6 linked regions of the Macaca fascicularis genome follow. The protein of the gene in region 4 binds, or shares a complex with, the protein of the main gene of each other region. Links are inferred from orthologs where the notes say so. Each region holds a gene or a part of one and is shown on either strand. Other genes may lie near its edges.

Region 1 (4,243 bases), on a different chromosome or scaffold from region 4:
TTTGTGTGACCATTTTCTGTAGGGGGCGTCCGTGGTGTTGGCTTTTTTTTTTTTTTTTTTTTTTTTTTTTTTTTTTTTGGAGGGAAGAGAGAGACTCAGAACGCACACAGAGAAAATGCTAATGTCATTCAGCTCTGTTTCATTGTCAGGAGGGACACATGAGGATAAAAACATAGCTCTCCAAACCATTCTCTCCGCTACCCCTCCTCCCTGCACCACCACCATCCCTTCGGCTGGATGTGTCTCTGCACTTTGTTCTAATTTATCCCATGCATAATTTATTCACGTTTGTATTGTTTCCTGATCAGCAACTTTTAAAAACAAATGAAATATATAAGATGTTTTATTAAACAAGTTGTTTAAAAAAAAAAAAAAAGGCAGATGGTGTCCGTCTCCCAATAACAACGTGTGTGCTCCTGCATTAGGAGTTAAAAACTGTCCAGGGTGTGAGAGGCTGGGCTGGTCAGGGGTATTGTTTACACCCCTTTACCCCCAGGGAAAGGGTCTGGGAAGCAGAAAGGAATGGCTAATTATAAATGACCACTCAACTCCCACCTAGAAAAAGCAAGCAGGGGCGTTGTGTGTATGCTAGTGTGTGCATGCGTGTGGCGGCACAATTACAAATACATCACATTGCAACTGTTTCTAATTATACAAAGTACAATTCAGAACTAATTCCCCTAACCAGCCGGGATTCCGCCACCTTCTTTCCCCCCCGTCTGTCCCTTCCCCCACCCTTAACCCCACCCTACACAGACTCCCTCCCCAAACGCGCACCCTACTGTGATCCAAAAAAACCCTGGAGCGAGCAGGGGAACACTGAAGCTTAGAGATACTGCGCCCGCCCGCGCGAAAGCGGGCTCCCGGGTAACTAGGGTACGGCTTTCCCAGTAGGAAACAAACCTGGTGCACATGTGAAATAGATTCTCTAACTTGAGTTTACCAGGTGGCATCAGCCTGGTTATGTGATTTCGGCTGGATATGGGGAAACTGCAAATCAGTTGTGGGTTCGGTAGAGACAGCATCAGCGGTGTTGCAGCGAAAGCAACCGGCAGCGAGGATGCGGCGAAGTTACGCCCATTTATTCTGCCATAAAACATTTTCTTTCTTGGATGAAACGCTGTGGCGTTCAAGTGCAGTGTATCCGAGCTTCCGAGGCAGAACTGAAGCCGGGAGCTCCTATCTGCTCAGCCTCAGCTTCCAACGTCCTCTTAACGGCAGCTTTCATATAAATATCTTTGAAACCTGGGGCATTCCTACCCGTTTCCCTATTTCTGGTGGGCGACGAGCTGGTGCAAACACGTCTGATTCTCCCTGTGCATTCCTTTGCGTTAGGAACCCCCCTACCGTCTCCGGGAGCGAACCTGGTTTTCAACTCCAGGAGTGGCGAGGGGTGAAGACGAGAATGCGCTGAATTAAAAGAAGCAGGGTCGACAGTGGCCACGCACCAGGGAGAATTCGGCACGAACCGCCCCCTACCCGGCCCGCACCTCCCTCTCCCCCTCTTTGCCTGCGGCTTCGTCCGGGCGGGGAAGTCCCGGTCGAAGGGGTGCGGACCCCCAGCCCACCTCGAATACGGAGGGAGCCACCCTCTGCCGACATCACCCAATAGCACCCCTTTCAGAGCGACACTAGTTTTCCGAGGCCACCCTTGGCTCCGCGATCGCGAGCGGACTTGGCGGCTTAACAGTTCCACCGACTGGAAGGAAGGAAGGAAGGAAGCCAGGATGAAAAGGAGGAGGAAGGCAGGCAGGCAGGCAGAAATTGGCTGTTGGACCCGGGGCTGGCCCCCGCGAGTGCTCGTCCGGCCCGCCCCACTCTGTCCAGGATCTGGACAAGCGCTCAAAGTCTCCCCGGGGCGGCCAGAGGCACCTGCCCCTCGCCCGGCCGGGAGCAGACGCTGCCCCCTCGGGCCAGGAGCCCCAAAACCGCCTCTCCGCCTGCCTCGGCGCCTCACCCAGAGGTGGCGAGAACACCATTCATAAGACCTGCGGCTTCCCTGCCTCCAAATCCACCCCAAGTTAACCCGAGTCGTTAATCCACTACAGCCAGGTTGCTCGCAAACACACGAGCAGACACACGCGCGGTCGCCCGGAGCGCCTCCGAGATCCGGGGGCTGCCGGGGAAAGCCCGGGGCGACCACCTGGGACCCAGCGCGCCCGGGACCCGCTGCTTCCCCCGCGGTGCTCCCAACTCCGGAAGGTTTGCACAAACTCCCCGCGAGCGATCGGAAGGCGAAGAGCGCCCTGCAAACTCCGGAGCCTCCGCGGTGCGTCCGCCGGACCCAGCAGACCCAGCGGCGGGGCGGGGGCCGCGGGCTTGGGGGTGCAGGGCTCGGCCAAGTGCACCGAGGCAGTCCCGGCCCGACGCTCGCCCCCCGCCCGGCCGCCCCCGGAGCCTCGCTCCCTGCCCGCGAGGCGGGGGACTCCAGGGACCGCGCTGTCCCCGAGCTCCCGCGACCCCCCTGCTGTAGAGCGCTCGAGCGCCGGGCTCCTCCGCCGGCAACCCCTATCTCTCGCTCTCTCTGCAATTTAGCAGAACACAAATGTAACAATTTTCTTCTTGTTAATTGCATCTCCTGACATTTCTGCGCGTTGGGGGAAAAAAAAGAAGTAAGAGCTGAAAGAAGAGAGAAGCCCCGCCGCGGCTGGAGGCGCCTGCAAGCGCAAGCACTGGCAGCGCTCGCCACGCAGAAGGCGCCTTTTTTTTCATATTGAAACCACGCGGAATATGTACATTTTTTAGTCTTACTTACGCTTTCAGGGGGTTGTGAATGACAGTCGCCATTTTGCTACAATGTAACAGAATATTGTCTGTCTCAGAGTTCTAAAGGTTCGCTCAGGGGAAGCGACAGGCCAATCAGAGCGCGGGATACCGGCCCGCCGGCCAATCGGCGCGGCTGGTCGCCAGGTGGGCGGGGCCTGCTCGGTGGTAGTTATTAGGGGAGCTGTCAAAGCCCAGAGGTCACTCCCTTTTGTAGAGCCCGAGAGCCAGCAGGTCTTAAAGGGGAAGTACCGCGTTGGCAGCTCCTTTTCGGGCTGGGGAAAGTGGAGACGCACGGGAGAATATTATAGTTTGGTTCAACTCCCTACTTTTCTAAATAACTGCAGAGTTTGCGCTCCTGGACAGAAATATTTCAATATTGCCAGCAAGCCACTGAATCCTATTCATTAGCTTTTGGCTTTGCATATCAACATTTTTAATCCCCCAAAGGGTAAATCCCCGTGTTTCAGTACAAAAGTTGGAAGGCTGCCGCTTCGTGTAACAAATTACTTCGTGTGCTTTGCCGTTTGCTAATGCTCTGGGTCCTGCTGCTTTTTAATATTCTTATTCCCGAAGTGTTCTCTTTATCTCCGCCACCTTCCTCTCTCGCTTCTTGGAACTGCCGCTGCTGTTCCTGGCGACTCCAGGACAGCAACTCACCCTCCCCCTGGAATGCCTCAATGTCAGGCTCACTCCCTCCTGCAGCCAGGGCTTTCTTTACGTAGTGCAGGGGGGTTACTCTGCGCGGTCCGCCGCTACCACCCCTTCTGTTCTGCTCCCTACACCAGAAACTTCCAAAATGCTCAGATTCCTGCTCGGTGGTGCGACCTGGAGCTCTGACCTTTAGGCTTAGAGGTAGGGAGGACTTGAGGCAACCTTTGGAAACTTTCTACTACTAGGAAGCAAGTGCCTAGGCAGAAGTCGTAGAGCCTGGACTGGGTGTTGTCAGAGTCCCTTTAGAGGAGTGGCACACGCGATTCTGACGTCACCTTTCACTACTTAGAAGGTGGAAAGAATTTGCTAGTGAATAATCCGATGTGACCCGAGGCGTCCAAAGAGTCTGTGTCTGCTTCAAGTCAGTGTGAACTCTTCACTGGCGAGCCCCTGACAAAATTGGGAGACTTCTGCGAAGTCAGGCTTCCACTGGGCACCGGGAAGCTCTGCGTGGATGAAACCGCATTAAATCGAGAATAGGGTAGGGGCCTCGTTAGCATACAGAAGTCTGGCTACCATTCCAAAGCTGTTTAATCAGGTCAAATAGCTAAGATAGTGGGGGAGGGGTGGCAAGGGGAGAGAAGTTGCCAAATTGCCAGTTCAAAGCTATGCCCTCTCGCTTCCTTTTGCTCCTCTCAAGACAATGAATAAAATAAAATAAACATTCCAGAATTTCAAGAGTTCAACTACATACGCTATTAGATTTACAGATAAACAGAAAGTGACTGAATAACTGTTTGTAATAGATTTGAAATCTTTAACTCCT
Region 2 (4,065 bases), on a different chromosome or scaffold from region 4:
TGTATTTTTAGTAGAGACAGGGTTTCACCATATTTGTCAGGCTGGTCTTGAACTCCTGACCTTGTGATTTGCCTGCCTTGGCCTCCCAAAGTGTTGGGATTACAGGTGTGAGTCACCGTGCCTGGCCTCTTTTTTTGTTTTTTGAGACGGAGTCTTGCTCTGTTGCCCAGGCTAGAATGCGATGTTATAATCTCGGCTCACTGCTAGCTCCGCCTCCCGGGTTCACGTCATTCTCCTGCCTCAGCCTCCTGAGTAGTTTAGGACTACAGGCGCCTGCCAACATGCCCGGCTAATTTTTTGTATTTTTACTAGAGACCGGGTTTCACCATGTTAGCCAGGATGGTCTCGATCTCCTGACCTCATGATCCACCAGCCTAGGCCTCCCTAAGTGCTGGGATTACAGGCGTGGCCTACCGCGCCCGGCTAATTTTTGTATTTTTAGTAGAGACGGGGTTCACCGTGTTGGTCAGGCTGGTCTCTAACTCCTGACCTCAGGTGATCCGCCCGCCTCGGTCTCCCAAAGTGCTGGATTACAGGCGTGAGCCACCAAGTTCAGCCTCTCACACTGCGCTCTTTTGCTTATTAATCTTGCTTCTTGTCCTCCTCCCCCACTAGACCGTGGGATCCACGGTGGCTGAGATACAGTAGCAGATCAATAAATATTTGCTAAGCTAATTAACGGCACTCGGGAGGTTTTGCAGAGAAGGCGGCCACGGTCGGGCCCCGCCTAGCTCCCCAAACAGGCCTTGCCGCCCCAGATCAGGGATCAAAGCGGTTCCCAAGCGCGCCCTTGGTCCGCGGAAAACCACTGCCCGGTCTTGGCCCAGGCGGCCGGTCCTACGGTCCAGGGTTCCTATTTCCGAGCCTCAGGAACCTCCTTTCCCCATGGATCCCACAGCCACCGGGATCCCATCCCCCAATTGCCCCGCCGCCACCGCCGTCGCCGTCGCCGCCGCAGTGGCGCCCGCTCTGCGCATGCTCCCGTGCGTCAGGACGCGCGGCGTGCGGAGGGCGAAGCTGCCCGTGCGCAGGCGCGAGGCCTCGCAGCCCGAGTGGGGCGGTGCACGGGACGCGCGTGCTTCCTCCGGACCACGCCCACCTCTGTCAGCTCTGGAGCGGGCGCGCACGCGCGGGGGGAGAGGAAGGGCGGGCTGGCGCGCGCACAAGGCTGGGCAGGCGGCGGAAGCTGGAGAGGCCGCCGCGGTGCTGAGGGGGAGGGGAGCCGGCGAGCGCGCGCGTAGCGGGGGCGCGGGCGGCGCGCGTGTGTGTGAAGGGGGGGCGGTGGCCGAGGCAGTCGGGCGCGCGCGCGAGGCTTCCCCTCGCTTGGCGGCTGCGGCGGCTTCTTTGTTTCGTGAGGAGAAGCGAGACGCCCACTCTGCCCCCGGCCCCGCGCGGAGGGGCGGGGGCGGCGCCGGGAAGGCGACGGCGCCGGCGGCTCCCGGTAAGGAACGCGGGCCGCGGGGGCAGCGCGGCGCGGGGCCAGGGAGGGCGGTTTGAATGGAGCCGGGGCGCCGAGGGGGGAGGGGGCCGCCGGCGCGCCCTGTGCGGGACCGGGGTACGGCGGCGCCCGAGGGTCAAGAAGCGCCGCCGGCAGCCGCGCTCGTGGGGAAGGCCACAGCGTCGCGAGGCCGCGGCAGCGGCGGTCCCCGCGGAGCGGCGGGGTGGGTGGGGGGCCCGGGCCGCGTGGAGGCCGCGCGATCCTCTCTGCGCGCGCTCTCGCCGGGGTCGCCGGACAAAGCTCGCCCCCCTCGCCCGGCACCCCTACAGTAGCCCTCCCAATTGCAGCGGCTCCAACAATAGGCAGGCGTTGGGGCTTTTCTGGCTGCGTGTTAAGGGGTCCGACCCGAATGTTGCCTTTTTGGCGAAGCTACGATCTGGGCTCAGTAGCCAAACCTCCAGATATGTCCGGCGTCGGCCGGACACGGGCATTAGCGGCCCCCTTGGGCTAGCCGACTTCAAATTGTCTTAAAAACGCGTCATTCCAGATTTTCAAGGAAAGGTAAAGGACTCCCCCAATGACTTTCAGTTAGTGACTTCAAAATGTTTGCCCGGAATTGGGGTTGGGGATGGGGTCGGCGGCAAGTAAGGGAGCACGGTGGAAATCCTTTGCTGTGTAAAAGCATTGCTTTTCTTTTGCATCCTTTTTCCTCCTTCCCAATTGGTTTTTCAGATTAAGGCTTTTATTTTCAACGTGGACCTTTTAGGCGAGTGTTTTGTCCGGATCTTGAAGACACCAGTCTTGATTTTTTTTTTTTTTTTTTTTTTTTGGTCAATGTCTCCTTGGGGAAAGTAGAAAGGGAGTAAGCGGAAAAGCCACTTCGCAGGAATTTGAAACAAGTTTTCAGTTTGGATTGATAGGGTGCATTAAGCTTGATTCCTGGTGCTGTCAGTCACTTAGCACACTGTCACTTTAGGGAAGTGCTTAACCTCTCTGAACCTCTTAGTTTTCCTCCTTTGTGAAAGCTCCTTTGTGAAAGGGGGTAATCTCCCAAATGCAGTTGGTAAAAGCCTGTAAAATGGTTCCTGGCAAGTGGGAAGCACTGTTGTTACTGTCTGGTTCAGTCTCCCTCATTGTTCAGCAAATAACTTCTTGAGGTCCTACTAAGTGTTGGATGGTCGGGGGGTTGGATCCTGGAACCTCTGCAGTCTTGGAGGGGATCGGGTGGTCAACGTGGGAACAAACACTCTTGGCCTGTCATTTAATGCTCTTGACCTGCGCTGTGAGAGGGACACAGCGGACAGGCAGGGGATCGGTGGTAGCCAGAGATCACGGGGGCTGCCTGAAAGAGGGGCCCTCAAAATCAGGGAGGATATATGTAGGATTGTATTTTGTTTTTGAGACAGTCTTGCCTGTCGCCCAGGCTGAAGTTCAGTGTCCCGATCTCCGCTCACTGTAACCTCTGCCTCCTGGGTTCAAGCGATTCTCCTGCCTTAGCCTCCTGAGTAGCTGGGACTACAGGTGCCCGCCACCACGCCTGGCTAATTTTTGTATTTTTAGTAAATATGGTGTTTTACCATGTTGGCCAGGCTGGTCTCAAACTCCTGACCTCAGGTGATCCACCCACCTCGGCCTCCCAAAGTGCTAGGACTACATGTGTGAGCCACCGCGCCAGAAGTGTATTTTGACTTTCCCTGGCCACCTGGGACTAGCCATTGTTCCCCTCAGCTATACTCACGCATCACCTTGGTCCTTTCCGGTGTAGCTGTCACCCCCAGCACCGTGAGAGCTGGGGTTGTGTCTGCCTGGCTGACCCCAGAGTACTCTGGGCCTGACACATAGTAGGTCTTTAGAGAAATTCTGTGGATTGAATGAGGGGGGTGGGGTCCTGTGGAAGATCACGTGACCATCTGTGTAAAAGGCTTGGTGCAGGGTGGGGTGCAGTGGCTCACACCTGACATCCCAGCAATTTGGAAGGCTGAGGTGGGGGAATTGCTCGAGCCCAGGAATTTGAGACTAACTTGGGCAACATAGTGAGACCTCATCTCTACAAAATATATAAAAATTAGCTGGGTGTGGTGGCATGTGCCAGTGGTCCTAGCTACTCAGGAGGCTGAGGTGGGAGGATTGCTTGAACCAGAGACGTGGAGGCTGCAGTGAACCATTCTTGCGCCCCTGCATTCCAGCCTGGGTACTAGAGTAAGAATGTCTCAAAAAAAAAAAAAAAAAAAAAAAGAAAAAGGAGAAAAAAAAGCTTGGTGCAGAACTGGGCATGGGTTGTAAGGGATACAGGTTAGTTATTTTAACAGTTTTGGAACTTTCCAAGCCATTGTTTCCCGAACCTCAGTTGTCTTCCTCTCCCCTACAAAGTGTGGGGTGGTGGTTAGCGTGGGGCGGTGGTAAGGAGTACCCATTCTGGAATCAGACCTCCTGAATTCACACCCAGCTCTTGAAATCCTAGCTTAACCTCAAACGAGGCGCTTAGCAGTAGGGCCCCCACTTGTGAAACAGGTAGGACGAGGATGCCTGAAACTTCACAGGCTTCTTGTGAGGGTTGAATGAGGTCACATGGGAAGCCGCTAACACACTGCAGCACCTGATGCATAGTGAACACTCGATTTTTTTTT
Region 3 (4,280 bases), on a different chromosome or scaffold from region 4:
GCATGCACCACCACGCGTGGCTAATTTTTGTAGTTTTAGTAGAGACGGGGTTTCACTATGTTGGCCAGGCTGGTCTCGAACTCCTGACCTTGTGATCAGCCCACCTTGGCCTCCCAAAGTGTTGGGATTACAGGCGTGAGCCATCTCGCCTGGCCCTCCTGATCACATTCTATTCATTTTTTTATTTAATATATTTTACTGTCCGTGACACAGCCCTCAGGAGATCCTGAAAACGTACATACCCTCATTTTTAAAAGGTCTCAAAACCTTATCAGCAGTTAGTCACTTTCTCATAAGCAATTAGTTACTTGCTTCTCTGAGATCATATAGCATTATGTTCACAACTCCATTATGGCCAGTCGTACTTTTTGAAACAGGGTTTTGCTCTGTCGCCCAGGATGGTGTCGTGAGTGGCGCGATTATAGCTCACTGCAGCAGCCTGCATCTCCCCAGCTCAAGCGATCCTCCCACCTCAGCCCTCCAAGAGGCTAGGAGCACAGGCTTGCAACACAATGCCCGGCTGCTTTTTGTACTTTTTTGGAGAGACGGGGACGGGCGTGGCGGTCTAGAGCTCCTGAGGTCAGTCGATCGTTCCGCCTCAGCCTCCCAAAGTGCTCCACGCCCGGCCAATCATACCTTGATAATTTAAAAATTTTCGGCTTCTATATGGGCCATTCATTAATTCATCAAGTATTCACTGTACATGTATTCATTGTCTCAGGTGTTCAGGATACACCTGTGAACAAGTTAAGATTAGGTTCTCATGTAATTTATGTGGAAGGTAAATGAGAAACTAAAAACACCGGGTCATGGTAAGCGCTACGCAGAAAGTGTATGGGTGTGAACAGTTCAAGATTGTAAGATATGACAACGGCTTTCTGAAGTCCTTTGAACCAGTGAATCTGAACGCGTCTCATAAGTGAAAATCAGAAGGGAAGACCCGCTGAGGTCTCCGAAACAGCCGATGCAAGGGCCCGTGGGGGCAGGAATGAGCCGCTGTGGCTGGACCCCTGAGGGAGTGGAAGGTCTGTGAAGCCGAAAAGCCTTGGCGTGGGCGTCCCAGATGGCTCTTCCCAAATGCCGCCGGGCCGCTGGGGGTGGAGGGTCTAAGGGAAAGCCGGGCCCGGCGCACTCGATACCCTAGGCAGGCTTTCCCCTCGGCACTTCTCGCACCAGACCTTTTCCCTTCAGCGGAGGCAGGCTATGACACAGAATCAACCTGCGGTTGTTAACCGCATAACGATTCGACGTCGGTAGCGAGGGAAGAGCATGGCTCAATAACCGGCACTCACTAGGGGAGAACGGAGCCTACAGAGGCTGGCGGAAGAGGCGGCTGGACGTGCTAGTCCAAGGCGCGCCCGCACGAGTGCTGCGCATGCGTATGCGCGGGCTCGCGTCGGATACGGCGCCAGTCCCGAGAGGGGGCGGGGCCGGGCGTCCGCACCGGAAGGGGGTTGGCTGGGCGGGGCCGGGAAGCGGCAGTGGCGGCTACGCGCGCGCGGGCGCGCGCGGGAACGAACGGGAAACACCGCGAGGGCTGGGGTGGGCCAGGCTGTGGGGACGACGGGCTGCGACGATGGCCGCAGCGGCGGGCGGCGGCGGGCCTGGGGCAGCGGTAGGCGCCACGGGCTCGGGGGCCGCGGCGGTAGCCGCAGGCCTAGCCGTTTATCGGCGGAAGGATGGGGGTCCGGCCACCAAGTTTTGGGAGAGCCCGGAGACGGTGTCCCAGCTGGATTCGGTGCGGGTCTGGCTGGGCAAGCACTACAAGAAGGTGGGTTCGCGCGCCCATGGGGGCCGGGAGACCACGCGACTGGGGCCGGAGGCGGCATCTGGCCTCGCGGGCCTCGGGCCTCCCCTCCCCCCCGCACGCCACGAGGGACAACAAAGGCAGGCGCAGGGCCCGCCACGCCCCCGCCGTCCGCTCTGGGCGCCCGCGCGCCGGTGGCCTGACGGGTCAGGCGCTTGTTCTTGTGAGCCCACGCACCCCTGGCGAAAGCCCCTGCTCAGTCTCGTGTGCCAGAGCAGGTCGAGCTCAGCCACTAGGCGAGTGTGACTCTCTTTTGTCAGCTGCCTTAGGTGTATGAACAATGATCCCTAAAGACCGAGCAAGCGTGGTAAAAGCAGCTTCAAGTTTTGTTTAGAGAGTATTCAAAGTCTCGAGGGGGTTTGCTACCTGTTGTTGATTTGCTAAACGACTGGGATGATTGTATTCGTTAATTACTAACAGGTAATGTGAATTCTAGGATGGATGAGAGCTATTAACGACGGTTTCTACCTCATTGTGCTTCTGGTTCTGTGTGGCGTGAGAGTTAATGTTCACTTGTACGTAAAGTGTTCTTCAGGGAGGCCTTCCGAGAACCCAGTTTTTATTAGAGCACTTTTCTTATGTCACCTTTATTTTCTTCGTAGTGTTTACCACATTTTGAAATTAGTCATTTACTTATTTATCCTACCTTTGGAATGGAAGTTCCGCCGAGTCAGTAGTTTTCAAAGTTTTGACTTAATCCCTTGTTTATAACATTTTTTTTTTCTCCAACTTCCCCTTTGTGTAAATATTCCGGAGAACTCCCTTAAAGGGTGTAATGAAGCAGGTAGTCAAAAAGGCTCCCCAGCCTCTGAAGTTTTCCTATCACCCTCTTTAATTCTGTACTTTCTCCTATTGAGGATCATAGCACTGAAGAAAGGGCTTTGTTCACTACAGTGTATCCGGGAACGTGGCTGATACTTAGTGCCTTACCCTTAGTAGCTGCTTAGTAAATATTTGTTTAATGAATGAAAAGATAAACTAGGAACCTATTTATTTGGCCTTTACAGCTCAGTGAAGCCTGTCAGTGTTTGGCAGTTATTAGGCATGGGCAGGGATCTTGGGTTCCTTTGGCATTACACGTGGTACATTCGGAAATGACCATTTCTGGCCGGGCGCGGTTTGGGAGGCCGAGGCGGGTGGATCACCTGAAGTGAGGAGTTCGAGACCAGCCTGACCAACATGGTGAAGCCCCGTCTTTCCAAAAAATACAAAATTAGTCGGGTGTGGCAGCACACGCCTGTAATCCCAGCTACTCGGGAGGCTGGGGCAGGAGAATAGCTTGAACCTAGGAGGCAGAGGCTGCAGTGAGCCGAGACCGCACCATTACACTCCAGCCTGGGTAATAGAGTAAGACTCTGTCTCAAAAAACAAAAACAAACAAGCAAAAAACAAACCCCAGAAATGACCATTTCTTTCTTTCTTTTTTATTTTGGAAGTTCAGCTGGGAAAAATTACATTTCTTGTCTGAAGTTTGAGGAAGTGAGAGACAGTAATTATATTTTTAGGTGCTTGGACCCCCCCCCCAAATTACATTTAGACTCTAGATGTTTAGTAATATTGCCCTTTCTTACACAGTGATAAATTGGTCACTTTTTATTTTATTTTATTTTATTTTTGAGACGGAGTCTCGGTCTGTCGCCCAGGCTGGAGTGCAGTGGTGCGATCTCCGCTAACTGCAAGCTCCACCGCCTCCCGGGTTCACGCCATTCTCCTGCCTCAGCCTCCCTAGAAGCTGGGATTACAGGCACCCACCACCACGCCTGGCTAATTTTTTTGTATTTTTAGTAGAGACGAAGTTTCACCGTGTTCGCCAGGATGGTCTCGATCTCCTGACCTCGTGATCCGCCCGCCTCGGCCTCCCAAAGTGCTGGGATTACAGGCGTGAGCCACCGCGCTTTTTAAACGTAGGTAATAGAGCTTCCAGGAGTGGCTAGTGGGATTGAATATGTTATGAAAATATTGGTTAATTCTTTCTTATTACATTCCTTTTAGCCAATGCTTTGGGTCTTAAATTCAGTGAAGCTTTAACAAAGAAAAATAATCTAGAGATGTTCCTTTGAATATCAAGGAAGAGAGTAGAAAAAGGCAAATTTCAGTAATTTCTACCTCTCCACACTGTTCAGTGTGCATCAGTTTGGGACCAACTACAAGAAGCTTTAGGTGTGGATAATCATCTTCAGATATTTGTTTGGGTGGGTAGGGAAGTGGCTACAAAGCAGTTTGAAGAATTGCCCAGTAGTATTGAGACCACTAGGCTAATGTTGATTCACTATCCCTGAGACTTTATAGACAAAGTTGTCTTTGACTTCTCAGGACTTTGTAAAGCCAGAGTGTATTTCTGTGGTCTACTGAGATTGAGAATCATATATGCCCTAGGCCTGACAGCCAGAATCTTTTCAGTCTCTGGGTGTTAGTGTCGAAGTGGTGAAAATATTATCAGAAGGTTCTTTGCTTCTTTTCTACACAATGCATT
Region 4 (4,819 bases):
GGAGGGGCAGGGGCGCCGGAATACGCGCGGCTCTGGCGGAGGGGCTTGGCGTCTGGCTGTAGGAAGCTAACTGAAGCCAGGCACCGCACAGGGCATTGCGAGCCTCGGGGCTACGGAAGGTACCGCAAAAATGAATATTAATGGCTTCTTTCAACCTTTCAAAGATGTTCACATCCACATGCTCCTCTACAAGACAGTCTGAGCAGGTCCTTTCATCCCCACTTGACGGATGGGGCCACTGTGGCTCAAGGAGAAAAACGACCTCGCCAAGGTCACACAGCTCATCCAGGCCCGGCCAACCCCTGAAGGGCTGCCTCCTGGGGGCCCAGGGCTTTGCTCTCTGCAGCTTGGTTGAAGTCAGGTACCCGGCTCCCTGCTCCGACTTCTGCTCCTCCTCCTGCTCCTCCTTCTCAGGCTTCACTTCTTGGGCGGTTCTGCCTGGCACTCACTAGCTCCTCATCTCAGCCACTCTGCTCCCTGCTTTGACCCTTCGGTCCCAAACCCCACTCCCCTCGACTGACTCCAAGTCCCCACACCCAGGGTCTTCGCTGACCCAGGGTCTAAGCTGCCCTCATAATTTGCTCCCAGGGTGAGGGCTGGAGGCAGGGCAGGCAAGGGCAGCCTTTGGGGGCACCCCAGACCCTGCCAGGATTATCTGATTGGGAGGAGGGGAGCTGCGTTGGAGGTGGGCTGCCCAGGGGGCCTGAGGTGGGTCAGGGCAGTGACACTTCCACTCACATTTCCCTTCCTGTCTGCCCAGGTCAGCAGCCACCTCCTCCTCTTCCCATCCCCACCCCAGCAAGGTCAGCAGTCAGGGTTCAGGGGGCTGTGGAGACTGAGAGGAGGCGGCTCCTCCTCCCTTGCCACTACCCCTGGGTGGTCAGATGGGGTGTAAATGAGATGCAAATGCATCGAGCGAAGTGTTCCAAACCCCACTTGTCCAGACTCCAGAAGGGAGATGGGGAGGGCCAGAGAGAGTTTCAGGGGCTGTGAAACAGAATGAGTGGGGTGGGATGGGGACTGGGACCACGAGAGCAGGAAGACGATCAGAGGGCAGGGGATGCAGACCCTGGCCCTGTTAACATGGACACATCACCCACCTCATCCCCAGGCATGAGGAGGGGCCCCTTGGGCTTGCTGTTTTCCTTCCAACTGCTACCTCCTCCTGGCCCTCCAGGCTCTGTGTCTAACCCTAATGTCCTCCCACCCTCGGTCAGCAGCTGTCTCTGCCTATCTCTCCTGCAGTGAAACCTGCCTGTCCATGTGTCTGCTTCCCTCACCCCACCTGACCCTGTCACTCACGCCTCCAGGGTAGCGGCCCAGAATGGAACCCAGGCCTGGCCACCAGCTAGATGGGGCACTGGGGCTCACAGTCACTCAATAACTGAAGCTCTAAGTTGGCCAGATAAAAAAAAGTCCACGTGTGCAGCCTCTCCCCACTAGATGGGCCTTTTTAAAGGGGCTCCCACCAGCAGCCAGGTTAGGATTGGTAACTCAGCTAGCTGACATGGACACTTTGGGAAGTTACCCCCAGGGGTCCCTGGGGTTGGAGGATGGGCTACTCCAGGGAGGCCCCCTCTTCCTGTCAGCTGCTCTCCCCAGTTATCAAGGCCAGGGATACTGGCTCCTCTGCTGAAGAGGCCCTGAGAGGGAGGCTTCCAGAGCCCCCAGAGAGCTGTGCCCACCTCCAGCCCCACCCCCATGAAAGGCCAAAATCCTAGGGACTCTGGTCTTACTGAGAAGGTGCCTTCCTTGGGGTCACAACCAAATTTGGCCATAGTAAACCTGACAGCTTCTTCTACACAGGGCCTCCACCCCCTCACCCATCTCAAGAGTCGCAGCCCCTGCCTCTCCCATTCCACACCCCTCCACACCCCTCCCAGCCAGGCCCTACTGACTCAGCTCCAGCCTCCCGGGCTCCCACGTGCCTTTGCAGCCTGCCTGTGGCAGGACAGTGCTCCCCTGTCCCTTCGGTCTCTAGGCCTCACATCCCCAACTCCAGCCCTTCCTTCACACCTTCGAGGAGTTAAGGACATCAGCTTCTGGTGGCTGAGTCCGCCAAGGGGACCCTCAGAACCCCTAACTTGGGCTAAGTCCCTAGAGCGGGCCTCTCCCCGACCCTGAGGCAGAAGCTCCAGAGCCCTCCCGCTGAGATGCAGAGGTGGCTCAGCCTGCGAGCTTCCCACTACAGTGCCTCCAGGGTCACCTGCTCCTTGCTCCGGAGACACAAGCAGTGACACTGTCCCAACGGATGAACAGACAGCCCAGCCCAGCCTCTGCCATGTCCCCATCCCCCACCCCCACCCCCAGGGCAGGGGCAACACCTGGGCCCACAAGGAAAAGAACGAAAGTCAACCTGTCGGCTACAGCGAGGACTCCCCACTTGGGGGGGAGAGTCCCCAAGTCCCACCCCCGCCCCTGACAAGAGCCATGCAAACGCCTCCCTTCCCCGCCTCGCACCAGACCCGGCCGGCCGCCTGGCGACGTGTTCGGGTGCCAGGGCGCCAGCACAGTCCCGGAGCCGGGCCGTGGGCCATGGCGCCCCCCACTAGAGGGGTGGGAGAGCGGGAGTGCCCTCCCGGCCCCTCCCGATCAGCCCTCCATTCAGCCCGAGCCAGCTCGCTCGCCCTCCCCCTCTAACTTTCCCCCACTCACCACCCCATGGACCAGAAACTCAAAAAGTTTGCTTTTCGTGGCTTTGCGCGCCCCTCCGGCAACTTCGTCCGCGGCCATCGGGGTGGGCTCAGCGGCTCCTCTCACTCTCTCTCTCTCTTCCTCTTTCTTTCCCTTTTCTGCCTTTTTTTTTCCTCCAACTCTCCCCTCTGAGTCCTGCTGGGCTCTCTCACACTTCTACTCGAGCGGAGTGGGGAGGGGGCCCCTTCAGGGCTGCCCTGACGGCCCACGGCCCACGCCGCCGCCGCCCGCCCGCCGCCGCCGCCGCGGCCGCGGCTGCCGCATTCCTGCACTGATAAGACAGAAATAGTCCGGCGGCCCGGGGTCTGCCTGTTGACTCGGCGGGGACGGGGCCGCCTGCCTTTCCAAGCCCGCTGTCCAAACAGCGCAGATAAGCGGCGAGGCGCGCCGACCAGCCCGGCCGCGGGCGCTGGGCAGCAGTGCTGCAGCCCGAAGCCGCCGAGGCCCGCGGGAGGCGGCGCGAGGAGGGGACGCCAGGGGAGGCGGCGGGGGGTCGCCGGCCACCGGCTCTCGCCACAAATAGTTTCTCCGTCAGGGAATTCGCCGGCCGCGCCAGGCAGGGAACAGTCAGTTCCAACTTTTCCCCCAGCGGGCTCCTGCTGCATTTCTGAGGCCCTTTCCCCAGAGACCTGGCAGGCCGAGCAGGGAAACATTCGCTGGCAGGAACCGGGGGAGCCCGGCCCGCGAGGCCTCGCGCCTGCCCGGGGCCGGCGGCGGTGGGTGTGCCCGGGCGGCGGCGTGGCCCTGCGTCCACAGCTGTGTGTGCCCTTGTCTCACACGCCGTGTGTGTCCGCGCCCTTTTGTGGTGTGTCAGCTTATGTGCGTGCAGACAGACGCCCTGTCTGTGTGCCTCCCTCCACGACAGCCTCCGTGCGCGCGCCTGCGTGTGTGGCAGGACGTGGCCTGTGCCTTTCAGCTCTGTGCAAGGCTATTTCTGGGTATGTGAGTCTTTGTTTGCCGTTCTGTGAGAAAGTGAGGGCAATAGGGGAAGTATTTCAGAAAGAGGGACAGGGATTGTGTTCATGAGAACAGGAAGAGAATGAATGTGGGGAATGGCGCAGCGCCAAGGGGGTGCTTGGGTGGGTGCATGGAGAGAACGAGGCAAGCCGAGCTTGGTTTTCTTGGGGTGGGGGTGGAGTGGGGTTAGGGGACCCAGAGGAGTTGGGGCAGCTGGGCTGGGTATAGTGGGTATATTGGGCCGGCCTCAAGACCCCAAAGAGAGGGATCTTGAGGCTGCGGTGTGGGGTGGGGTGGCAAGGGAGCCCCAGAAGGGGCGTGTGGAAGGAGTTGGCAGTCCCTGGAGTGGAGGAGGGACCGGAAGGAGGAGGGGCAAATCCTGACATACCCAGGCTGGGAGCCCTGGGCCTACCCAGGTCCCCAAAGGCCACGCCCCTTTTCCCTCCTTCTGGGGGAGGAGCCCGTGGGCTTTGGAACAAGGCCCCTTGGGTCAAGTTTGGGGGCCTGCTGGGGCCTCACTGTGAGAATCCAGGTGAAGGCAGGGCCATAGCCTAGTGCCTAGGGGAGTTTGTTGAAACACTTATTTGAAGTTGTGTCCTGAAGACTGAAGTGTCCTGACCCTAAACCCTTCAGAATGCCTTTGCCTAGGGGTCTTTTCTGCCTGCAGCCTGATTTCTGCTGGCCCTGGTTGTGCTCTTGGCTGTCACTGTTCATTTGGGTGTCCACTGTCAATCTGAAATGTCAGGGAGGGCATCTGGTCCAGGATGCTCCTCTACCACCCCTAGCTTGAAAGGGGACCTAGAGATACCCTTGCTGCCAAATCTCTCCCAGGGCTTTAGCCTAGACCCCCCCTCCACACCCACACACAGAGCCTGGGCCCTGACAGGGTGGGGATGGGTGGGTGGCCTGCCTCTGTCTGCCACAGGTCATGCAGGTAGCTGCTGGGAACCTGGGGAAGTGACTTGTCCAGTCTGCCTGCTAACCTCCAAAATCCCTGCTCACTCCCATTTCTTAGCCCCTGCCCACGATTCTTTTACCTGGAATGTCCTTTGTCTGCCCTCTGCCTTCCCTCTGCTTGTCCAAATCACATCTATCCTTTAAAGCCCAGCCCAGGCCCCACTTCCTCCAGGAAGCCTTCCCTGGTCCTACTTGTATGCAAAGATTTTTC
Region 5 (4,148 bases), on a different chromosome or scaffold from region 4:
AGAAAATCAAATTTTTAATTAAAATAGAATCAGAAAAAGTCATAGTTTAGAAGGATGCAAATAACAGGAAAAGAGGGAAAAAAGCAGATTGTCAATGACTCTTAAAGAGAGAAATGTGTGCTATGGCAAGTGGTATTTATTGGTAAAGACCAAAGTAATTTACAATTTTTTTAAAAAAAGATGTTCATATTTTGCTTATTAGTGCTGTGAAGAATCAGTACTACAAGTGGCATGATTAAACAAGGGATGCCTTTTTTTACCTGCTTCACAAAATTATTATAAGAATTAAATGTGGTAACATATATGAAAGCAATTTGCCGATTACAAAGTTCTCCATAAATGTATAGTATTGCCAGAGCAGCCATTCCTTAGAGACTATCAACTTTGGGTCACTAATTTCTATGTGGCTTCATGGGCTTTAATTCAATGAGTTTCAGGAAATAATAGGCCTTGATCAGCGCTGCAGAATTTGCCCCCACAAGAATACCAAATATACCGCCTGCAGAGTATTTTATTTGCTTTAAAGGCCAAAGATCTTTTTCTTATTTTAAAAAATGCATAAGATTTTCTGTTTCTGAAACAATAAGTGGTACTGACATCTCTCAAGACTGAAAGCACTATTGTCTCATTTTAAGAACCACCTTCTTATTAGGAGAGGATGTTGTTGGCAGGAATGAATAATTAGGTAACTCTTTGTGGGCACATTTTCTTCAAGTCCCAAGGGGAACGTACAATTGTAACATCTCCTTGGATTATTTCACAAACATATGGCAAATGAAGCACCTGAGCCAGATGTACAAGCATATTATAGTATGTCTGTTTTAACTTAAAACTGTGAAATACATCAGATGGTGAAGTTATTTTGGTTGTGAACATCCATCATGGAAACAGCATGGAAGCATCTTTTCTTTATTGTCCATTTTACTTGGACTGGAAATAATCAAGAACAAAACAGTTTGGAAATCATCATTTGCAGTACAAGATTCCAGGTAAAGTTCAAGACCTAATGAAGTACATGGTCTGGATTTAGCTGGGCCTCAGACATCCCCACATAGTTTGTTAATGCCTGTCACCAATATTCACTGCTGGCAGGCTTGGAGTCTCAGATTACCTATGATTATTTTCAGTTCTTTTTTACCCCATCATCTTGTGTTTTTACTCCCCTAGACATGCATGTGGGTTATTTTGTAGGTATTTTTTAAATAATGAGAATATATTTTCTACTGATTCAGTAGCGAGTTTTTGCTGTTTTTTTTTAACCGTATTTTATTATTACAACATTGGTTGCTTATTTTACTAAAGAATCATCATCTGGTATTGGCTTCTTGGAATCATAGTGATCTAAGCAGAAATATCCATCCCATTTGCTTTTGAAATATATTTCAAAATGAATGGTATACTTTTTAATCTGAATTACTCATGTTTCAGAATTAGAAGCTATAGGTGCCACAGAACCCTCAAGTGTACAGTAAGAAAATAAAGAATACACAGGCACGGGCAACTATATTCTCCCTTCAATGCATATGCGCAAATTCCATTAGCATTAATGAGTTCTCTGCACATGTACTTAAGAGAATGTGGACCAAGTCACAATGTAATCTATTTCTTTATCCAAGTTAAAAAAGTGATGGGGCGGCGGGGCTTGCGTTGTATTCCTGAGCTTTTCTTGAGAATTAGAATGATACAGGGCTGAGAGCATGCAAACAGTATGGTGGCAGCGACACCAGGGAAAAGGCACTTACTTTTTACAGCCAGTATGGCATACAGCAGAGATTTGGGGGTTGAATTACTATGGTTGGCAAATGTTGAAGCTGACAATAGAGGTCCACAGAGTCCTGGATATTCTGGCTTTGTGTTGCATCAAAATAAGGAAACAAAATATTTATGAACTTAATTCTGCCTCTCATTTTTTCCCCCCTTGAAATGGCAATTCTCTGCATGATGATGTGTATAGATGTGCAGTTCAGATGTGTTCCTAGCCAACACAGCATTTCATAATGCGGTGCACCTGTGTTTTCTTGGTCACCCTGTTGTCACCAGGGTGTGTTAAAGCACCCTCTCCAAAATAATTGAGTAGGAGGCAGGGCAGGAAGTGTCAGGGAAGGGGGCAGGATCTCTCCTCCGCCTTTATTTCTAACGTCTTCTCATTTGGAAAGATTGGAATGTAGATTTAATTTCAGGTGACAATGTCAGGTTTATCCCAGTTCAGAGATGTTGATAAATCCTGGTATGGGACTGCGGTGACCCTGTGTGCCCTCATACTCTACCTATCTCACAGGGATGTAGCTGTGTTTATAAAACTCACATCTAATATTGCAGAAGTGCTAAGGTCAGGGCATCTGAGCCACACGGTATCAGGCATACAACCACACAAAACTGTGCATCACGCAGAGGCCCCCTTTGTAAAGCTGCTAACCCAAGAACCTCTCTCCCGGATCAGTGGAGCCTCCAGTGTATGAATGACCCTTAACCTTAGCAAGCCCAGCACTCTGATGAGTCTGAGAAATGCACTTTTAGCATTGGGAGAAGCCACAAAAAGCTAAACAAAATGACTAGCAATGAAGGCAGACAACAAAACAAAGATACTGAATTTGTGCCCTTACCTTCATTTCCCCCCTGAAGATTTAAATTTCTGATGGTAAAAGCAATAATATTCTGACCTTAAAGGGCTGAGGTTCTGTGGCCACCGGTTGTTTAAAGGATCATTCCTCAGCGGCATTGTATCACCGGCCCTAGCAGCGGCGGCGGTGGCGACAACCACCACAAAAACTGGAGTTCAGTCATATTGGCATCAGATTCTGGAAAGGGGAGGGCAGGGAGAAAGGGAGTCTATTGGCCTAAAAAGCTGAAACATCTGCTGGAGTTATTAACAGCTTTTTGGCTGAGTTCAGCAGCAGGGCACCTTGTGGTTGATAGATTCTTCTCTCAGCAATTCAAAACAATGCAGTTAAAGCAAATTCCTCATTTTCAGAGCCCAGCTTAATGAGGCATACAGTATTTTAAAAATAGTCACACTTAAAATGGTCAATAGCAGTGACTGCAATCAGTGGTTACCTTCAGTACTCTATTGCGTTGTTAACTTTGCCAGGGTGATTGCATAACACGGATTTTTCAAAAGACCATGTAGCTCACTGTTAACTCACTTTGTAGGAATTTACATTATTTATGAAGTTTATGCAGATCATCCTAGGGTGTAAATACTGGCAAACTTGATCAAAACCACTTAGAGGCCTCCTGGCTATCCTTTCCCAAAAGTGTGCATTAAGCCACTTTAGGCTCAGAAGTCCAATTCCAGGAAAGGTTCCAAGGGGCCAAATTTTGGAGATAAAATGAAAGGCAACATGTGAACAGCCTGAGCTGGAAAAAACACTGAGTTGGAAGTCAGGGTCGAAGGTTCTAGCTCTAGTCCTAATACTAACTGGCTGTGTGAGTCCTTGCGGGAGTCACTCAATCTTTCTGCTTCAATTTCTTTCTGTATAAATTTATGGGGCCAATTAAAGGGTATGTCTCCAAATGTTTCTGTCCAGCTCTGCCATCTTAGGAACTATGGAGCTCAAATCCAATTTTAAAGTATTCCCCTTATGATAGCCATGAATTGCAACCACACTGAAGACTGTTCACCAATATGTGACAGTATGTGTGGTATTTGGGTAGGGGCATCAGACGAACAAACTGCAAAGTTAAATAGCTCTGTCAGTCACTTCAAGTGAATGCACCATATGCTGCAACAGACGTGGGCAAAGTACAACCAGCCCCAACTGGATTTGCTAGCCTGTTAGTTTATCTGGCCAGATGACAGTGTCCAGCCCCAAAAAGGGTCATGCGCAGCTTTGCATCCTACTGATCCAGCATGCTAACTTTGGCAGAAGGAAGGGAGTGGCAAGGGAGAGAGAAGGCAGACCAGTGGTGAGTCAACATCTGTGACAGAGCTGAAGTCAGCCTCACTCCTCTTTCATCACTTGCCTAGCACATGGAAAGAGAGGAGAGAGAGTTTGCCAAGTTATTGTTTCCTCCAGCAAATACATGATCTGATCCCCAGTTGCAGAGGCAAATCACAGAATGGTGCCCTCCTTTCTGCATTCTGGTCCAAGGATCTCTAAGGACAGTGCAAGAATTCTCTATTAAACATTTTTTTCTGGTTGGTTCTA
Region 6 (4,290 bases), on a different chromosome or scaffold from region 4:
GGGCTGGTCTGGCTGCGGCGGAGAGAACGAAGCTGGATTAGGAGTGGCTTGAAGTCCGGGCGTTGTCAGTGGTGACCTCTCAGACCTGAGGCAAGTGGGCCAGGCTGGACCGGGCGTGTTAACGTCGGTGTTTGTCAATGTGATGCGCTAGAAATACTCCCCTCATCTTTCCCAACTTTTGTTTGCTGAGTGTAGGCAACACTAATGAATGGAAAGGAGACAGGATTGTACTTTAAATCCGACAGCATTTTTTACTCTCCAGAACAAGTCATCTGGAGACGCAAGCCAGCTGTATGGCGGGCCGCCCCGGACCAGGCTCGGCTCCTCACTTCCCGCTGTTTTCAGTGCGGTCCTAGAAGTGCCCTGATGCAGCCCGACATCAGTAATAAATGCATCTGAAACCCACCGGCTCCCACGTTCTCGCGGGGGTACCTGCCAGGCCGGCGTCCAGGCTCCTCCCCGGCTCCCGGCCGACCGCGTTCTCGGCGGAGGCATCAACCACGCGGGAACGCAAAGCCGCGAGGGCCAAATCTCAGCGACTTCTTCCCGCCGTGCCTCCCGCACGCTCCGGCGCGGGCGTCGACAGCCCGCGGGGACAGCTTTGGATGCTCGGGGAAGCGCGGCCCTGGCAGGTGGCTCCGCGGCTCTCTCGGAGCGTCGCCAGCGAGAGGGGCGGTCCGAGAACAAAGGCGGGCGAGGAGCGACGACTGCGAGCGCACGGAGGCGGAGGCCGCGCAGTCTCCGCGCGGCTGCTCCGAGCAGGGCGACCCCCGGCAGGGAGGGGGTGGGGCGGGGACCCCCGGAGGGGCGGGGCGGGGCAGGGCAGGGCGGGCGCCACCGGGAGAGAGGAAGGGAGCGAGGGTGACGCGTGGAGGGGCCGGGCCGGGGGCCGCGGGGAGGGGGCGGCTGCGAGCGCGCCAAGTGGCGACGAGCCGGGCCGGGGCGGGCCGGAGGGCGGGCGGGAGGTGGGGCGCGCCGCGGGCTGGGGGGAGCCGCGGTCGAGTACAGCGCCGGGCCGTGGGGAGTCAGGCGGCGGCGGGGCTGAGGCGGCCGCGGGGCTGAGGGGAGCAGGGGGGCTGAGGCGGCTGTGGGGTTGAGGGGAGCGGCGGGGCTGAGGCGGCGGTGGCGCTGAGGCGAGCGAGCGGCGGGGCTGAAGGGAGCCGCGGCGGCGCTGTGGGGGGGGCAGCGGCGCTTAGGCCATCGGCGGAGCTGTGGGGGGCGGCGGTGCTGAGGCGGCGGCCGCGGCCGGGCGGGTTGGGCTGACGAGAGAAGCGCCGCCGCCGCCTGGCCTCCTCCATTCCGGCCCGCAGCCCCGCGCCCTTCCAGCCTCTGGCGCCCTCCCGCGCGGGCAGCGCGCTGGCGGCGGCCATGGCGGTGGCGGCGGCGCTGGCGGGCCGCGGGGCGCGCGGCGGCAGGGGCCGGCCCCCGGGCGGGCGGGCGGAGGGGGCGGGGCCGGGGCGGCGGGGGGCCCGCGCGGCGGCGGCGGCGGCGGCGGCAGCGGCGGCGGCGGCCGGGACGAGGCGGAGGCGACGGCGTCGGCGGCGGCGCGGGGCGCTCGGGCTGATGGCGGCGGCGGCCGGGCCCGGGGCTGCGCTGTCCCCGCGGCCGTGCGACAGCGACCCAGCTACCCCCGGAGCGCAGTCCCCGAAGGTGAGGAAGCGGCCGGTGCGACCCGACCCTGACCCCGTCCGGGGCCCGTGTGCCGGGGCCTCGGCCCAGTCCCACCGGCGGCCGCCTAGCGTCTCGGGGGCGTGGGCCCCAGGCCGGGCTCCGCGCCTGAAACCGGGGGTGGTCGGCCAGGCGGGGCCCCGAGGGGAGCCCGCGGCCTCTAGCGAGCAACAAGTGCGGGCGGGCGGGCGGGCGGGCGGGGGACGCGGCGCGGCTTCCCCGAAGTTGGCGGCCGGCCCCGCTTGACAAGCTTGTCCCCAAAACGCCTGTTCCGGGGCTAGCCGCGGAACGGAACGCGTCCGGGGCCGAAAGAGTTGGCCTCGGAGGGGCCTGCAGAAGCGCGCTAGTTCGCTCAGTCTTCATTCCGCGCATAGTTTGCTGAAGTGTTTGAAAGCTTACTGCAAAAAACCGAGTGGCGAACGATATGGAAAATCAACACACTCAGTTTGTGAACTTAGTGTAATAACTAAGTAAATACGCAAGCGTCCGGATGTTTTCGGCGGAAGTCTTTTTTTTTTTAAACTTTTTACTGCTTGAGGAGGTGAAAAATTGGTGTTTGTGGAGAAAATGGAGATGAGCAGTAGAGTGTCACGCATCAAAACGTTTTGGTTCCAAAGTTAGGCTAGCAGTTTGTGACAGAAGGTTGGAAGGGAGGAATGATGTTTTAAAAGCCTCGAAACTTGAAATTGGGTTGAAATTAGAAGGCGGCGGGAACTGAAATGCTTCAGAGCCAGCCAGCCTTCGTACGGTGTGCGGTGTGCGGTGTGCGCGTTGGCAGGGGAAGCCATCCTGTGGCAGCCTAGCGGGGCTGCGCCTGCCCGGGAGCTTTTCCCGTTGCGCACGTCTGTCGTGCCGTAAGAGAAAGACTTGTTTTGAAGGTTCCTCAAAGGCCCTCGCCAATGGAAGTAACTAGATTGTAAGACTCTGAATGCACAGCCTTGCACTTCCAGTGTTTGACGTCTGGCCCGGCACCTGGAGGGCACTGAGCTAGTGCCCACTGAGTGCATTCTTGACCCCTGAGCCTTAAGAAGGACGTGATGCATAGAAATTCATCTGATCCGTAGGTGGAAACCACCTATAACTCTGGAAGGCACATCTCTGATTTAGTACATTTGGGAGTCTTTGAAAACATGGGCCTGTGTATCAGTATTGCGATTACACGGAAATTCTTACCTTATTCCGTCGTGTATTGGGAACAATATTGCTGTTACTACCTCTCTCTAGAAAAAGGCTCTCTGCCCAGATGCTCACTTTGTATAATAATGCCTTTGCCTAGAATTTGTACTAGTAATTTAAAACACTTTTTGAAATTGTAGTCTCAGCTTTTTTGAGCACTTTGCATTTTTAACTATTTTTGTATATTTTTGAGTGTCTCAATTTTTTAGCTAAAGGGAAATATACTTAAGTTTAAGGACATAAAAATCCTTAAAATGCTCACAAATAAAATAGAAAAAAAATACTGGAATGTTTAAAATGAGTTATGTTAAAAGTATTGAATATGAAATGTTGCAGTTGTGATACTTATGCAAATTTTCAGAGAGTAGATTTAGACTGTGCAGAGCTCTTTAATGAAATGCTAATTTTATAAGGACTGAAAAAGATTATATATTTTACTATTTGGAAAGGAACCAGTAAATTCCTAGGAGCTAGGGACATTTGAGACTTTATTATCATAATCATCATTTTAACTAGTATTTGTCAGATAATTCGCTAGTCCTTGTTCTAAGTACTTTTAATATAGTAGCTCATTTAATCATTGAATTAGCCATGTAATAGGGGCTCTGTTATAATCTCAAATTTTCAGATAAGGAGATGCTTACAGAGAGTAACTTACTCAGCTAGTAAGGGACGGTGCCCAGTGAGAACCTAGGCCGTCCAGCTCTGGCATGCCTGGCCACTATACCATATTGCCACTTTATATTCTTTTGTAGGATTCCTTTCATTTTAATATGTAGCAAGAACACCATGATATTTAGCAAAATTGGATTAGCGTTAAAAGCTATATTACATTTTAAAAATTATGATTTTTTTAGACCTTAAGCTTTGGCTGATAAGTAAATAAATCAATTTCCTAACATCTGATACATTTTCTGAGTGCAGTGTTTGAATTTATAACCTTCATGTTCTTGCCACATAATGTATTACATTAAAAATATATAAGCCTCTTCCTTAAAAAAAAAAAATTCCCCTCCCCCTCTCAAGGTTCTTTTTTTGAAGTGTGTGTTGCTATATTATAGATTGATGACCCTTACTAGGGTATATTTTTGCTAACCTTTAGCAATGTAAGAGGAAGAGTGAATAGTTAGAATTGTTTTCAGTCTTGTATGTCCCCTTTTCATGGGGACATAAATGCCTAGTCAATTAAAATAGTCCTATGAACCGACTCCAAGTTGAACTGGGAACTGTAAATGATCCATACATTTTTTCCCCCCTGGGCTTGGGTAGGAGAGTTTGCTTTAATCCTAGAGTGATGCAGCAGTTTTATGTGTTTATGAAGAGCAGAAAGCATTTTAACCTCAGTTGGCAAGAAAGCAAAAGCAGATTTACATTTACGGGTTAATTGAAAATACTCTTATTTTGATTGGATTGAAGATCAGTTTTAAATTTTATTCCAGGTCTTGC

The links.
Region 1: SMARCD3 (region 4) and DPF3 share a complex: the UniProt entries of both Homo sapiens proteins name them as parts of the BAF complex. The link is inferred for Macaca fascicularis from reciprocal best matches to the Homo sapiens genes SMARCD3 and DPF3.
Region 2: SMARCD3 (region 4) and SMARCA4 share a complex: the UniProt entries of both Homo sapiens proteins name them as parts of the BAF complex. The link is inferred for Macaca fascicularis from reciprocal best matches to the Homo sapiens genes SMARCD3 and SMARCA4.
Region 3: SMARCD3 (region 4) and SMARCC1 share a complex: the UniProt entries of both Homo sapiens proteins name them as parts of the BAF complex. The link is inferred for Macaca fascicularis from reciprocal best matches to the Homo sapiens genes SMARCD3 and SMARCC1.
Region 5: SMARCD3 (region 4) and SMARCA2 share a complex: the UniProt entries of both Homo sapiens proteins name them as parts of the BAF complex. The link is inferred for Macaca fascicularis from reciprocal best matches to the Homo sapiens genes SMARCD3 and SMARCA2.
Region 6: SMARCD3 (region 4) and PHF10 share a complex: the UniProt entries of both Homo sapiens proteins name them as parts of the neural progenitors-specific chromatin remodeling complex. The link is inferred for Macaca fascicularis from reciprocal best matches to the Homo sapiens genes SMARCD3 and PHF10.

What each region holds. Positions count from the first base shown.
Region 1 is NC_088381.1:140,763,275-140,767,517, forward strand, and holds the start of DPF3 (zinc finger protein DPF3), read right to left. Parts: upstream 2,801-4,243; 5' UTR 2,788-2,800; coding exon 2,756-2,787; intron 2,750-2,755; exon of another isoform or gene 2,576-2,749; coding exon of another isoform or gene 2,167-2,575; intron 2,117-2,166; coding exon of another isoform or gene 2,043-2,116; exon of another isoform or gene 1,918-2,042; intron 1-1,917. Other genes in the region: uncharacterized protein, read right to left, coding at 2,043-2,116, 2,167-2,575. UniProt on the Homo sapiens protein: Belongs to the neuron-specific chromatin remodeling complex (nBAF complex).
Region 2 is NC_088393.1:11,528,765-11,532,829, forward strand, and holds the start of SMARCA4 (transcription activator BRG1), read left to right. Parts: upstream 1-1,265; 5' UTR 1,266-1,441; intron 1,442-4,065. UniProt on the Homo sapiens protein: ATPase involved in transcriptional activation and repression of select genes by chromatin remodeling (alteration of DNA-nucleosome topology).
Region 3 is NC_088376.1:110,703,931-110,708,210, reverse strand, and holds the start of SMARCC1 (SWI/SNF complex subunit SMARCC1), read left to right. Parts: upstream 1-1,480; 5' UTR 1,481-1,576; coding exon 1,577-1,771; intron 1,772-4,280. UniProt on the Homo sapiens protein: Involved in transcriptional activation and repression of select genes by chromatin remodeling (alteration of DNA-nucleosome topology).
Region 4 is NC_088377.1:192,527,816-192,532,634, forward strand, and holds the start of SMARCD3 (SWI/SNF-related matrix-associated actin-dependent regulator of chromatin subfamily D member 3), read right to left. Parts: upstream 3,132-4,819; 5' UTR 2,734-3,131; coding exon 2,656-2,733; intron 393-2,655; exon of another isoform or gene 156-392; intron 1-155. UniProt on the Homo sapiens protein: Involved in transcriptional activation and repression of select genes by chromatin remodeling (alteration of DNA-nucleosome topology).
Region 5 is NC_088389.1:97,177,729-97,181,876, forward strand, and holds the start of SMARCA2 (probable global transcription activator SNF2L2), read right to left. Parts: upstream 2,801-4,148; 5' UTR 2,661-2,800; intron 1-2,660. UniProt on the Homo sapiens protein: ATPase involved in transcriptional activation and repression of select genes by chromatin remodeling (alteration of DNA-nucleosome topology).
Region 6 is NC_088378.1:1,310,712-1,315,001, forward strand, and holds the start of PHF10 (PHD finger protein 10), read left to right. Parts: upstream 1-1,490; 5' UTR 1,491-1,563; coding exon 1,564-1,650; intron 1,651-4,290. UniProt on the Homo sapiens protein: Involved in transcription activity regulation by chromatin remodeling. Belongs to the neural progenitors-specific chromatin remodeling complex (npBAF complex) and is required for the proliferation of neural progenitors.